2 linked regions of the Drosophila melanogaster genome follow. The gene in region 1 interacts genetically with each later gene. Each region holds a gene or a part of one and is shown in the gene's direction. Other genes may lie near its edges.

Region 1 (8,437 bases):
GCGGGTCACTCGGAACACCATCCTGCTGATCACGCTGATCCTGTTGGTCCTGGCCACCGGATTGATTGTGCTCTACGTGGAACTCAATCGACCCAAGCCCGAGTTGCCCAGTAATAAAGCCATCTATTTTGGCAACAACTACGACCACCAAACGTGTAAGTGGATGGCACTTGTATAATCCATATAGCCAATTCACCAATTCTACAGTTCCGAATCTAGGAAACGGCCATCTCGTCGTCGACAGAGAGCAGTGGGGAGCGTCGAAGAACTCTCATGGTCTGACCATTCCCCTGAAGCGACCCATTCCCTACGTCCTAATCACCCACATTGGAGTGCAGTCTCTGCCCTGCGATAACATCTACAAGTGCTCCATCAAGATGCGCACCATTCAGGATTCAGCCATTGCTGAGAAGGGTCTGCCGGATATCCAATCCAATTTTTATGTAAGCCTGTTCTTGTTCTGCACTCTTTTACGCGCCTCAATGGGAAACATAGTTCCTAAAATAAGCCTTGTATAATACTTTTTAAGCCTTAAAAATCAAAATTTCTTCGAGTGTAGTAGGGAAAAGAAATCCCGGCGCGTGCATTTGTGTTCCCATCACGTTCACGTGCCATTTTGGGCATTTCGCTTTCCGCTTACGCAAATTGTCAAATTTCCGAATTTGTTTCGACCAGGTTTCGGAGGAGGGTAACATCTACGTTGGCCGCGGCTGGGACTGGGCCAACACGTATGCGAACCAGACATTGGCCATTACCTTTATGGGCGACTATGGCCGGTTTAAGCCCGGTCCCAAACAGCTGGAAGGTGTCCAATTTCTGCTGGCCCATGCAGTGGCCAATCGAAATATTGATGTGGACTACAAACTAGTGGCGCAAAATCAGGTATAATTACTTACTATATATCTGGCATATCTGGTGACATAATAATTTAATTGAATATTTTCCAGACTAAGGTGACCAGAAGCCCGGGTGCATATGTGTATCAAGAAATCCGGAACTGGCCGCATTTCTACGGCTGCGGAATGGACGAAGCACCGGCCTGCGGCATCGAATTGGGCATGAAAACGGAATCGTGGGACGCCAAGCAATAGCTACAGACTTTTCTACCACCTAAGTGTAACCAAGCACAAACTGTATTTTAATACATATACTAAGGCGAATGGAGCTTTCTTTTAATCGGTTATGCTGGCTTCGAAACCAAAGTAAACCGGTTGGGAGCAAGCGGTTTATTTATAGTAATATATATATATATAGTGTCTCTCTTCCTCTCTGGAGCTCTGTTTAGTTTTACTGTCGCTCAAAAAGCTGGAAATTCCCAAGCCGCAGTCAACCTCTATCAGTGCCAATACCAGTACCCCTTTTATTCCCTCATAGACTTTAACACTCATCGATCTTGTGTGTGTCTGTGTGTGTGTGTAAATATATGAGAGCCTTTGTGCGCCAGTACAACATCATTATCGGTAGCTTCACTTCACTTCACTTATATAGACGATGTTGTGATCGCTGTGGCTGCCTTTGTCATTTATCTGCCTTTCAACGTGAATATATGTACAATGATAATAATGATGTTTTATTTTTGTTATCATATGGAGTCATTACAATCCTATTTACAGGAAGACTGGTAATAGCAGAGAAATATATTAAAAATGAAATGGATATTTGCCAATAAGATCTGCTATCATCACCGACCTTCAGTTCAAAGCCCTCAACAGAGAAGTACGTTCGATGATTTATATTGGTAAAAAAAAAAAGAAACTCCTTCGAAATGTTTATGTTTTTAACTTGCGCATCAAATGATGAGCTGAAACTATGACGACATGGAAAGCTAATAAACTAGTGGGTGTGCCTTTTAACCCTCTTTTCATCAATGACCTAAAGTCCAACCTGCCCAAAAGAGTGACGTACATACATTCATTGACTAATTAATCTCACGGCGCCTTAAAAAAAAAATTATACCTACAACGCGGAACGAATTTTTGGCCAAAACAATGACGAGAGTACGGCACGTGTAAAAACCAAAAAGAAGAAGAAAAAAACACATATGCGAAGAGGGAACCAAAAAAGTAAAAATAATTAATAATAATTAAGGTAAGAAAATATGTGGAGGTAGGTATATTAAAATAGCTATGGTGATTGATTTCGCAACCGTTGTAAAGAAATTATTATCTGCTTCATTGGAAATGATTTACAATAATTACTGGCATTTTTCGCAATAAAATAATGGGTCAACAAAGAATAGATTGCCTGGCTACAAAAGGCATAAATCATTAGATGTTTCGGTGTAGAACTTTAACTGCAATAAAATAATACATTTTAAAGGCCACTCAACAAGCTTATCAGTAAGTCAGGAACACTGAGAGAAAAAATATTATAAATAGTCTACAACTATTTCGATTAAAGCTCGTTGCGCTTTCCACTTATAATTATATTTTTATTTTTCTTTTCTGTAAGCGTGTTCGGAATTCGTTTCGCCAATTTGTTGCTCTTTACGTTTTATCCATCAACAGTTTCCCGGCGCCCTTTTCAGACTATCAGAGATCGCCGAACCGCCGTTCGCCTATAATTACATTAAATATTTTTCAACACAAGTACAATGGGTCAAGCTGGAATTGGAAGAGAAAAAAAAGAGCTATGTACACATGTACATATGTATACATATATATATATATAACTGGCCTGTACCACAAAGTGAAATAGCCAAAAACCGATTGCGGGCCGCAAAACAAAACAATTCTCGGAAATGGTAGCGCAATTTAAAATGTTCACATTTTTGCCCACACTGCAATGTCTGTAAGTGTTTTGGTAGACGGGAGAGAGCCGGAGATTTGTGTTGTTTATTGGTTGAATAAATAAAAAATATATATATTTATATACATACATATGTACATATATAATACGTATACGCCGATTTGTCTGTGTCGATGTCGGTGCGGACGACTAAACAACTAAACAAAAACAAACAGTCATCGTCAGGTGGGAGAAGTTGGAGAGACCATTCTCGAGCCACGGGGCGTAGCTGGAGGTATCGTTATAAATTTGACTAATATCTGGAAGATTTATAAAAAAAAACCCGAAATCGAGAACAGGTTCCGCGACTTAATGACGCTCGGAAAAACCGAAATATGCAGCTCGCCAGATGCAGTTATCGGAATTCTTTCGGTTTCTTGGGATCACTCGCTTTTCGTTTAAACCAGTTTCGATTGAGAAAAAGTTGTACCGCTATCATAAGTTATTAAAATGTACAGTTTTTTTTAAGGAAAATTTAAATCATTGCATTTTATTGGTTAACGCTAGATTACAAAAAGGATAGAAAATACAACAGAACGCGTTCATATTATGTAATATGTAAACACTATATGTTAAAAAATTATATTTTCTAAAACGATTTAGAAGTTTTTTGGAACAAGGCTTTTGAGTTGCACTCTTAAGATCTTTTGAGAAATCACTTATTAAAATGCAAATCGGTAACAAGTTGGACTGCCTGAAAATCGGACTCAAATTAAACAACTTTGGTTAAATAAACGCAAAAACGCCGACCGCTCTCTCCCCATCATTCTCTTTGTTTTTTTTTTCTCAGCGATCTGCTCTCCCTCACACACGCTCCCCACACGCTGCCATATCAGACGCTCCAGCTTTTCAGGCCGCTGCGATTTGATCGCCGCTCAGTTGATCAGAGTCACTCGAACGCGCCGCTGCTCAACGATTCGAAATTGGCGCGAAACGGTATAAAAAGTTCGACTTACAAATTGGCTATATAGTATAGACGCTCAAATATCAAACGAGCTGCAACGGTTTTCGTCGGCAATTTAAAGTGCGTAACGATATGCAAAGTGTTAATATAGAATAGAATATAGAGTGATTATATAGAATATTACACACCGCAAAATAATCATAATCCTATTATATGACTAGTGACAAATAATTGAGCAATTATATCGATATTTAAGTGCAAACTAGTTTGTTTCTCCAATCGTTTTATGTTCCAGGAATGTTAATTAGCCTTTCGAAACACGAAAGGAAGTGAAAGAAATTCGTGGAAGTGAAAAAGAAAACATGCTATCGAAACATCGATCGAAAATCAATTAATTTGCACATAGGCCATATTTAATGATAATTTTGAAAACACGTAAAACATCAGAGTTGTTAATTATTATCGATTCTCCAAACAGAATACAACCAAAACAAAGAGCACCCATATTGTGATGATCTGTGCGTGTATTAGTGACAATGGCCGCCGCTCCCGTGCACGTGTATTGGTGCGCTCGGTAAACTCAAAATGCCATTCCGTTTCTCATTTGTAGCCGTTGTCGTTATTCGGTGTATTCCATTTGGTGTTATCTCAAAAGCGTGCTCTGTGCCAACTCTCTAGAACATCGATTCTAAAGTATAAAGTCGCTACCCTCCAAGGCACCCTTTCAATTCTATCGAGTTTATCACAATTCGCGGAATTCTTTAAAATAGAGTTACTGTTTTGAAATTGGCACACCTCTTCGGAAACCTTCGTATCTACGTATCATCAAGACGTCACGGCATATGCCCATAATGATCTTTCAGCCTTTTGAAGACGTCACTCGTGGCTTTCGAATATCCAAAATTAAGCATAACATGCATATGTATGGGTAACAACTACTACTTTTGTGTTTCTCGGAATCCACTTAAGTAAATAGACTACGTCAATGATTATAGCTAATTTGCATAAGCCTTGCATTCGTGCGAGCTTACTGACCAACTATTTGAATCGAATTTGACGAGTATACAATATAAGTCAACTGTATACATACACATATATTCCAGCACTATTCAATACCCTTATATCTTAATTATACAAACTTCACTGCCATACAACAGCAGCAACGTTTTTTATTCGCGTTTTAAAAACTCTGTTGGCAATCGAGCTTATCAACAATCGTGTATACATGAACTAAAAGCGTTGATTGTACTTATAAATCATATTGCAACTGAACGATCTAATGGATTGTGATAACAATAAAATCACTTTTATAAAGCATGTGTAATTGAAAAGTATTAAAGAACTGACGAAATATTTTTCTAAATTGTGTGTGTTATCCAAACCGTTTAATAATGCTCAAAGCTATCAAATAAATATCACTTAGCTTATCGCATAATATAATATCAGCAATACATTGTTAAAATATATACATATATTTATCAATGTTCTAAAAACACTTGCACACAAGGGAATTATGTGGTTTTATCAAAAATAAAAAAATCAGTGCACCATAAAGCCAAAGTGCCTCCCCAAAGTTAAGCCCACTTTAGCCCAATTCAAACAAAAAATTTCTTCGAAATTTGACAACGTTTGACTAGCTTATTATCATCAAGTTAACCGGGACCAACAAAAAAAAAAACGTATACTTATTTGCAGATGCTCATGATGTGATGTTTGCCGAGAGCTGTGCCTAGTCAGCCGTTTTGCCATACGAAAAATAATGTACCGCCCAATCTGCTAAATAGGAAGGCTAACACATAACGCTCAGAGATCCAGAGAAAATATCAATCTGGTTACGTGACTGTCACGATAGTTCGACATGCCTTTTAGCAATGAAACGGAAATGAGCCAATGTTCCAATGCGAAACGTAGAGTAAACGATCCGTTGACTGGACCAAAAAACTGCAGTACTTCGTCCACAGACTCGGGCGTTATACTAAACGATAATGTGGCGGCATTCCGGCCGGAGAAGGAGACCAAAGATCGGGGGACGGGCGAAGGGCAGTTCCAATCGAAATCGGAAGAGAAAACGGAATCCAAGCGTATCAGCGTTGAGCACACTGTCAATATAACAACGGAAAATGTTGGAAAGACATCTTCGCCGGCGGTTTCCATACGGAGTACCACAATTTCCGTTGTGTCCATCGATGATAATGCCATCGACTCGAGTAGTATTGATAGTGATTCGGAGGCCGAAGCGGAGGATTATACGGTCCAGAAGCTGGGTCACCAGGTCACCTACCCGCCCAACAGTTCACACCTGCGCGACCTTAACCAGGGTCTAACGGTGATCAGTCGCCATGTGGCGCCAGGTGAGGCGGCAGTACCACCACCCAATCCCCTGGAAGCTGGCATTGTGGCCAAGCAAATACTGAACGGTAATCTGGCCGTGGCCACGCCCACATCGCCGGCGGGCGGTGCCACGCAGGGTATTGGCAGCATCGCCCTGACCAACTCCACAGATGTGACGTTCGGTGATAAGCATTTCTACGAGGGACCCGTGACGATACAACAGTTTCTCATCGATAATCGGGACAAGTGGAAACCGGGCGAGGGACCAGCTGGTGGACAGGATAACCCCGCATTCAATGGTGGTCCCAGCACGAATGGAAGTGCGCCGGGTAAGACATTCTAAGCTAATTTAATAGATTGTATTTTAAAATCTAAATCTGATATCGTTTAGTTTTTGTACACTATACTAAGAATGGAATCTTAAAAGTTGTAACTTTCGATTGCTTTCGCATCTTTCTGCATAGTTATTCTTGAGGATCGTTAGTTCGATAATTTCAACTTTTTAGTTTTCTATTCTAAAATATATATTTTCTGGGATATATATCCTTAAAACATATATATATTATTTTGCTATTTCCTGCTGCCTTTGTTTGCGTTTCATTTCTGTCTTCACCTTGCCGCGGTTCTGTTTGCTTTAATGGGCCAAAACTGAGCGCGTGTGACTATTTGTTTACTCAACCCAATTGGCCAGGTCTAACGACCGTGCTGCGAATGGTAGATTAGCAGATGGCCCACAAAGCAGACAGATTCATTGTATGCGCCTAGAACAAATACTACATGTTACTATAAAAACATATTAAATGCATTTAATTGCGCAAGGCAACAAAACTCATTATGGAAAATTTTGTTAAAATGCCAAATAATTTTATTACGTATAGAAAATATTTTAGCTTGAAAATTAAAAAATATTTATGAAAATCACGAACCCAAAATTTGTCTCACATAAAATAAAATTCATGAGAGAAAAAGTTTTAACGCCAATAGTGTCGGGGGATTTTTTAATATTAATACATTTTTTATTACTTATAGAACTCGTTTTTTATCTCCCTGTTTTCCGATTACAATCTCAGCACAAAAAAAAAACAAGTAAAATTTCATTCACGAAAAGAAAATGTATCTCTGCCGATTCAAGGCCCCGCAGCTCGTAAATCAAATCGGTGAAAACTTGCGATAATTACGCACAAAAAAAAACCATAGCAACTGCAATTGTTTACTTGATTGATTTTCACAATTACCATAATTAAATCGCCGTTCTGGTTGGCGAAAGTCTCCAATTGGAATTGAACCAGGGGTTCGAGTGTAAATTTAGTCAGCTGTAGTTAAGTGTTGTTTTTATAAAGGCAGGTGCTTCCCCTGGATCACGCAATAAATACTCATATAAAGCGGGGGGGTTTTTTGCGTGCGGCTTAAATACTTGCTAAATGAAAAAGTGAAAAACAAGAACAGTTCCTGCATACTATGTGCGCGGATCGGGAAAAGTACCCAACGATCGGTTTCAGTTGTTCATATAAAGCGATCGGAGAATGTCGAGGAACACGCTTGAAATTTGCCTAAAGTGTCACGGGATAATCGTAGATAATGACAGGCGTATCGAGTGTGATAATGTTTATTGTGGTCGGTCCTGTCATCGCAAATGCACGGAATTGTCCGAGGATCAGTTGAAATTGCTGGAAATGGTGCCCAATTTAAGGTGGAAATGTGACAACTGTCTGAATGGGGTGCAAATTGGAGCACAAATGAGCAAGTGGTTGGAAAAGTCACTGCGGGAACATGAAAAACGATTGGAAATCCTAGAACAGGGGCTAGTGAAGCGTAAGAAGAAATACTGAATATATAGCAAGCTAATCTTTGATTTTATAGGCTAAATAGAAAACTGAATAATTTATATAATCCTTCGTAAATCAAAATTTCTTTCTTTAAATTAACGAATATATTAAACTTTAACAAAGGTGGTTCCACTGTTTCCAAATAAAATTAAGTCTTTTATCTTTCATAAACAATAGAATTTATTATTAAGCCGTTAGAAATCTTTGCCTTATTCATTATTTAAGTTTTCCTTAACATTTTTTAAACAGCTTTCACTTACCCACACTTTTCAGGCTCCAAACACGAAGATCCGGCGCAAACCCCACCAATTTGTCCTTTTCTGCCCAACACTGTCGGACGCAAGGCCGTCACAGTTACAGTGGTTTTTGTAACTTTAACCTTCCTGCTGGGTATCGTACTGGCCACCACCACAAATCTCTTCGGAAAGACGTTGAACCAAAGTAAGATCAGAGATGACGACGATTACAGACAAAATATTCCAATCAATTCAACAATAGGTACAGTTTTGTTTCCCGCTAAGTGTGCAAAAGTGCTTCCTTACTAAACGAAAACCGAATTGGCGATCATGCTCTAACATATATCATCTCA
Region 2 (6,897 bases), on another chromosome or scaffold:
TTTATCTTGTGCAAAACCATGAGGAATCAACTTCTGATGGGAAGAATCCTTTTTTTCCAACTTGCTGCTGCTTGTGTGTCGCTTTGACGTTGCCGACGCTGCCGTGCTGCTTGCTTTTCGCTTCTTCCGTCGCCTGCTTTTGTCGGTTTCAAGGGAAGCCGATGCGAACCAAACCGAAATCCACGAACTTTCTATGGAAGATGGCAACAAGAAAACGCACAGTGTCCCGTGGAATGTTTCGAAACTGAAAATACCTCTAGCGAAAAATGTGCCTACGAAATTGATAAAAAAAAAAAAAAAAAACCCCATCTCACTGCCACATCATTGTCATCCCCATTGGATAAAAGCTAGCACGAGATTTTTTATCGCGGAAAAGCAATGTGTTGTAAGATTTCTACTCTAATATTGTTATTTGATTCGATCACATGAATGCATTAACCATCAGAAACTATAGTTTTTGGGACTCAATTTTTATTTTTTTGAATTTTTTGAATTGAATTTTTTGATTCTTGGAAACGTTCGAAACATTCGGACAGATCGAGTTGATCAGTTCACAGGATAAACTTTTTCATTTTATTAGTGTTCTATCAAAGTATTAAGTATTGCTACTTTACGTTACATATTAGGCAATCTACAATATGTATGTAAATATAATCCTACAAAATCCCATAAGGATTCAATTAAGACTTTGTTTGTTGTTTTTCCAGCGGAAAAAGCCGATTTACCACCGACGCAATCCTGTTCCAATTTAAAAAAAAAAAAAAACCTTGTTATTTTAAGTTTTTGGAGAGGAACATAAATGGGACCTTTTCAAGGCCCGAAGTCTTCAAGATTATTGCTTCTTATTTTATTGCTGAATTATCAGATTTGTTTCCTCTAACATTAATCCCTCAATTCTTTAGTCAACATTTTTTCCACTTAATAGAACATTATTTTTTGTCAGCATTCATAAATTGTCTAAATAGTTGAATATTTCGCCAGACTATAGAACTAAAATCGAATTTTATGGCTTTGACATTAAATAGACTTTCATCATTTGCTTCTAAGAAGAAAAACCCAAGAATCGCTGACAGTGCAATTAAAATTGAAGAGTATTTTAAAATTACAAATGCACAATAAATTGTAATTCATTAAAATTCATCATCGAGTTACCACTAATGAACGGGGTAAGTTGCCGTCGGTAAATTTTAAAATATTATCATCGTATCTAATCTTAGCATTTACTTACTTTTGTACAGAAACTTCGAGTAATCACAATCCATATCGCATTGGTGTAAAGCTCCAGGATTAGATGCTACTTATTGCGCGGCTGCTCCGATTGGCTAGGATATGGTCTAGATGTGCGAGGATTCCGAAAGCTGGAGAAGATCTCTATCTCGAAATGGAGAGCTGTGCGGATTGATTGGGCTATTCACAGCACCTTCTTCGGCGAACTTTTTTCGCGGACCTTGCAGGGATCGAAGAAATAAACCCAAATGCGGATGCTTATCAGTGAAAACCGATCCATTTTTTAGGATTTAACCGCACTGCACATTTTCCACCGTCGCGACTACGATGATATTTATACGAATTATACGGATTATGTTTATCTTTCGCGATTTACATGACCAATTGTGTCATGAGCCCGGCTTTTTTGTTTTAATTTGCATTTATTTACTCTTCGCTTATGTTTCGGTTTCTGTTTGTGTTTCTGTATTGTATCGCAATTGGTCGTTCATTGGCTGGCATTACTGAAACTTAAATCCACTTCCAAATAAGTGTATCGTGCGTTTTTAGTTTCCCCTGCAGGTTGAATTATTGTTCTTTTTTTTGGATTTACTTTCTGGTATTTACACAGTGGTAATGGGAGTCGAGTTTACACTTGGTCGATGTTTACCGAATCTAGTCGCTCGATTCGATTGTTCGACGGAATGGGAATTGGCCACCATATCATTGATTTAAAGGCGTTAGTTAAGGTTGTTCTGATATCAGACGGATTCCTTAATAAATGCACTGCAAAAAAAAAAGCAACGTAATTATAATCGTTAAGGAGGGGGAACAATGGCTTGGGTATTATTTGTTTATTTGTATTTATACGTATTTTTTTTTTTTTTGCTGGCCCAACTCGCTTCAGTAGTTTTCCCGAAGACGATGTGCGGGTGTTTTTTGTGATTATTAATTTATTTATTTGTTTTTTTTTTGAATGGGGTGCAACAGTTGTGCTGCAATCAGCACAAATAAATCTTTGTGGGTGATTCATAAGCTGTCAAATAAACGCATACAGCACTGCACAGCACAGCAAAAAAAATGTTGGAAAAAAAATAAAAATAAAAACACGATGTAGAACAAAATATTGGTATTGGGCAGAATGGCCGAAAAGCGCTCCGAATTACCTGCGCATTAACAATAACGGCGCGAATCGGATAGGGATACTATCCAATCCAACACTATCCAATCCCAATCCACTCCACGCTCTCTATATGTAAACTTAGCACACACGAACGCAAATTTACACTGGCATACATGAAATGCAATTATTATTATTATTATTATTATTATTATTTTTTTGTTTCCACGGTCTGTTTCAGATCCGGTTGCAGCTTATGCGAAGCTAATTAAACTAAAACTATAACTACAACTTTGTTTACACAACACACCGCTGGCCGAATGCAACGTCGAATTGTGCTAAAGCGAACCCATTATTTAAGATTTCATTAAATCCGCGACGTTTTTTCCTCCAGGGCACATCATCTGATGTTGATGGTTTTTCTCAAACTTTGCGCTTATTTTTACCGGCACACGGCGCAATCTGTTTGGCTTTGGACTGGGTACGAACTTGTACTTGTACGGTACACCGATAGAACAACATATCCGACGGATAGCGACGAACAAACGGAACGGGATGGGTTTGGCGGATGGCGGATGGTGGATGCGGATGTGGATGGAAATTCGGTACGAGAAGAAAAAACCGCAATTCGATTATATCTTATGGCTGGCGTTTGTTTTAATTTTAACTAATGTTAACTAGCTCTCGCAATCGAAATAACACAGACAGACGCAAGCGATGGCATAAACAGAACTACCAATAAGAAATTATCTCAAAATGTATTTCAGGCAAAAAGTAAAACAGTAAAAGCTCTTCTCATTGAGCATTCGCATTCGCACTCGGCTGCTTCCATCGAAAAATTTTTCGAAACTGAAAGCAGAAATATATTTTTCTGGCCATTCCAATTCGACTCGAAACTCTCTCGCTCTCTTCCTCGCTCTCTTTGTGCGCGGTTCCAATCGGAACCAATTGTGGAACCTAAGAGAGCGTTAATTCTAAGATTTTACATAAAGAGAATCCGTTTTTCTCTTTCATTTTCATACATTTTTATGTTTTCTCTTCCCCTAAATTATGTTAAAAGCTTTAATACCAAAGCTTCACTTTATTTGACAGCTGATTCAGCTGAAGGTGATTGCCGCCCTTTTTTGAACTCCACTAAAAAATGCCTATTTTGGTATATTTGATTAGGTTATCTGTTGATTACAATATATTTAAGCTGTTTGTCCAATTAGCGAAGATATTTAAAAAGTTTATTTCACTTTTTGATATGCTTTTAATTTAACTTTTAAATTAGACTGTGTTCCTGTTCGGAATACGGTCACACCGGAACAAAAACATAAACAGACCTTTGAATGCATTCCACTGTGCAGTCAAAAGTAATAAATATAAGCTCCTCAGTTTTATACGTCAAACTATCGCTTAAGCAATGTATAAAATTAGTTTATAAGTTGGTTACATTTTAGTTTATTCTCTTTTAATGGCTCTAAGTGACTATTAAATCCGTGTTGTGGTAGCTCTTTGGTTGGCTTGAATAGCCAGCAGTAACTAAATATAAAAATAAAGAAAGTAATTGAGAGACTTGGAGGGAAGAACAGCGCATACGCGAGAGTGGTCGAGTGAATGTTTACAGCGCATGAATTAGGTTTTGGTGGTTTATCTGAGTACCTCTAGCCCCATGACTAATGCTTAAAGATGGGCTGACTTGGGTGTAATCACCTGCCTCTACAGGTTTATTATCAAACACGGTGCAGTGTTGCAGTTAACTGCTTAGCATTAAAGCCCAATATAGGCAAGAGTGTTGGAAAGCTCATCTTTTCCAGCACTGGGTGCATTGTACCTCCAGTCGATTTGATTGGTGAACCAAACTGGTTATATTTTAGCCAGTGATAAGGGGTTTTCGGATCTGGACAAAGCATTTGTATGTTTATATATTTATATATATTATATTTATTTATTTATATATATTTATTTACTTATTTATTTATTTATATATATTTATATATTTTCATAGAACAATATATATATGTATACAGAAATATATGTCCAAAACGGTTAAAGAGGGATAATTTAAACTATTTTTTTTTGTTCGTATTTAAATTTTTGTAAGCTTTATATGGTTAATCAAATACTTATCGAAATCTGAAACTCAACTAGTGGATGCGGCCCACTGTATGTACGATACCGCTAAGCTCCCTTCAAAGGCAGTGGAATTGTTCTAAATGCGAACATCGATAATACTTATCGATATCTAGACTGATCCTCGATATCCATGACAATAATTAATACACATGACTAAATATGCAAAAAAAAAGCCCCAAGTGGACTGATATGCAAAAAAGCATTTCACCACGGCACCTGCGCATATAATGGTGGATAGCCTGTGGAACGTCCTTATCTTATCGTGTAAGGTGGACACGACACGAACACTAATCAGAGAATAGAGCAGTTCTAACTCACAATATTGATAAACAAAGTAAGGGCCAGCCGAGAGATACACGCGCATTTATTGGCAGCAAACAGAAGCCAAAACTACGGACATGTCCGAATCGGGAATCAAAAAGTTGAGCCAGGAGCGGACTCGCGAATGGTTGGCTAGTCAGGAGGACGAGGAACTGGAGTCCATTGCAGAGTCCTCGGTTGTGGACAGCTTGGACTACGATTATACCGAGGAAGAGGAGGATGCCGACCAAAATACCAGTGAAGAAATCAGCACTATGACACTAGGCACTCAAATCGGTGCGTAGTACTCAAGATCAAGTTTCTATATTCAATTTATAACACTTTCAATATATCCCCACCTTAAAGCTACCAAAAAGCATTCGATCATCAGCGACACCATAAGGGACCTTATGAACTCGATCAACAGCATTCAGACTTTGGGCAACGTTAATATAAGCAACTCCACGAACGTCCATATCGGCAATGTTACCAATATTAATGGAAATATACAAATCATAGCCGATGGCCTTACTCAAAACCGAAGAGATCGGCGGCATGTTTCACCACCGAGAGATAACGCTCCCAAAACTCCGACACATTTCGAAGACGACTATCAGGACGAGTCGGAGGAGAGGGTGCGCTCGGATGTGTTCATCAGGCGCCAGAGTAAGCTATCATTCACCAGGGGATGCATACACGTTAACCATAGGATACCGATTTCACTTACAGAATTCAAAATACCCAAGGAGCTGTCCGCCATCATTCCGCGCTCTTCGTGGCTAGCACAGAAGCCCATGGACGAGCCACTGCCCTTGCAACTGCCTGTTAAATATGTGGTTATCTGTGAGTATTCAAGTTTGCTGCACGTTTTAACCATTTTTTTGCCAACTGATTATAAATCAAGTTGTCTGTAAAAGTATGACGCAATAATTAAAACAATTTATACTATTTGATCTGACCATCATGCTTAGCACTCACTAACCTAAGATTATATCGTATTATAACTCTTTTCGAATATATTTAAAACCTTGATTAACAAATATTGTTTTACCACGCAGTACACACAGCTACAGAGAGTTCAGAAAAGCGGGCGATCAACGTAAGACTTATCCGTGACATGCAGGTAAGTATTTCGTTAGCGAAATTAAATCATATATGCTCCGAACTATATAATAATTATGTATATATATTTCAGTGCTTCCACATTGAGTCGCGGGGATGGAATGACATTGCGTACAACTTCCTGGTCGGCTGCGATGGCAACATCTACGAGGGACGCGGATGGAAAACGGTGGGCGCCCACACTCTGGGTTACAACAGGATCTCGCTGGGGATCAGTTTCATTGGATGCTTCATGAAAGAACTCCCGACGGCAGACGCCTTGAATATGTGCCGCAATCTGTTGGCCCGCGGCGTTGAGGATGGTCACATATCCACCGACTATAGATTAATTTGTCACTGCCAGTGCAATTCGACGGAGAGTCCTGGTCGGCGATTGTACGAGGAGATACAGACATGGCCCCACTTTTACAATATCGAGGAGGAGGAACAATGAGGGACAAAAGAAGAGCACCATTTCACATACTTAGACTTAAATGCACCCGAGTTACGTTTATAATGTTGAACATTAAATCACCTGTTTATAAATTTTCCAGCTACTGGCAGTTTCGTTAAGTTACTTTATATTTTGGTATAGTTTTTGCAGCGCTGAAAGGTGGAAAAACCACAAGATGTTTCGGAACCAACATCGCCTACCTGTTTTAATTCACAACTGAAAGAGAAGCAACAATTATACTGCACAAATATGAGCGAGCTAGCACCACATAAATACAGACAATAGTAATGCATTTGCTGAAAACAATCTATAATTAAACAAAAATTTGCGTACAGTCAAGTAAACAATTAACAATTAGAAGTGATTTTCTTTAAGCTTTGGCGGAGCCGAATACTTTTCCTTAACGTGAGCACGGTACTCCTCGTCATCATCGTGGCACTCCTTATAGCATAGAGTGCAAAAGAGTTCCCCACCACATCCGTGGCATCGGAAGTCGGCGTCTTCGTTACAAATATTGCACCAGGGCAATTCTTCGGTGTTGCCGGGCGACTCAGTGTTAATTGGACTAATTTCACTCTCGGAAGGTTCTGGTAAGCGC

The links.
Region 2: of PGRP-LC (region 1) and PGRP-LE, changing one enhances a phenotype caused by changing the other (phenotypic enhancement), as found in Drosophila melanogaster (one study listed by BioGRID).

The regions. Positions count from the first base shown.
Region 1 is NT_037436.4:9,336,779-9,345,215, forward strand, and holds the start of PGRP-LC (peptidoglycan recognition protein LC), read left to right. Parts: upstream 1-3,659; 5' UTR 3,660-3,811; intron 3,812-5,386; 5' UTR 5,387-5,549; coding exon 5,550-6,351; intron 6,352-7,421; exon of another isoform or gene 7,422-7,545; coding exon of another isoform or gene 7,546-7,834; intron 7,835-8,121; coding exon 8,122-8,346; intron 8,347-8,437. Other genes in the region: PGRP-LA (peptidoglycan recognition protein LA), read left to right, coding at 1-155, 208-443, 676-882, 948-1,091. UniProt on the Drosophila melanogaster protein: Major activator of the imd/Relish pathway and is likely to encode a pattern recognition molecule for the humoral immune response. Required for Relish processing and nuclear translocation following proteolytic cleavage.
Region 2 is NC_004354.4:15,800,653-15,807,549, reverse strand, and holds PGRP-LE (peptidoglycan recognition protein LE), read left to right. Parts: upstream 1-3,669; 5' UTR 3,670-4,223; intron 4,224-4,459; 5' UTR 4,460-4,842; coding exon 4,843-5,041; intron 5,042-5,110; coding exon 5,111-5,410; intron 5,411-5,473; coding exon 5,474-5,587; intron 5,588-5,802; coding exon 5,803-5,867; intron 5,868-5,939; coding exon 5,940-6,299; 3' UTR 6,300-6,397; downstream 6,398-6,897. Other genes in the region: CG15602 (uncharacterized protein), read right to left, coding at 6,654-6,897. UniProt on the Drosophila melanogaster protein: Peptidoglycan-recognition protein that plays a key role in innate immunity by binding to murein peptidoglycans (PGN) of Gram-negative bacteria and activating the imd/Relish pathway. Has no activity against on Gram-positive bacteria.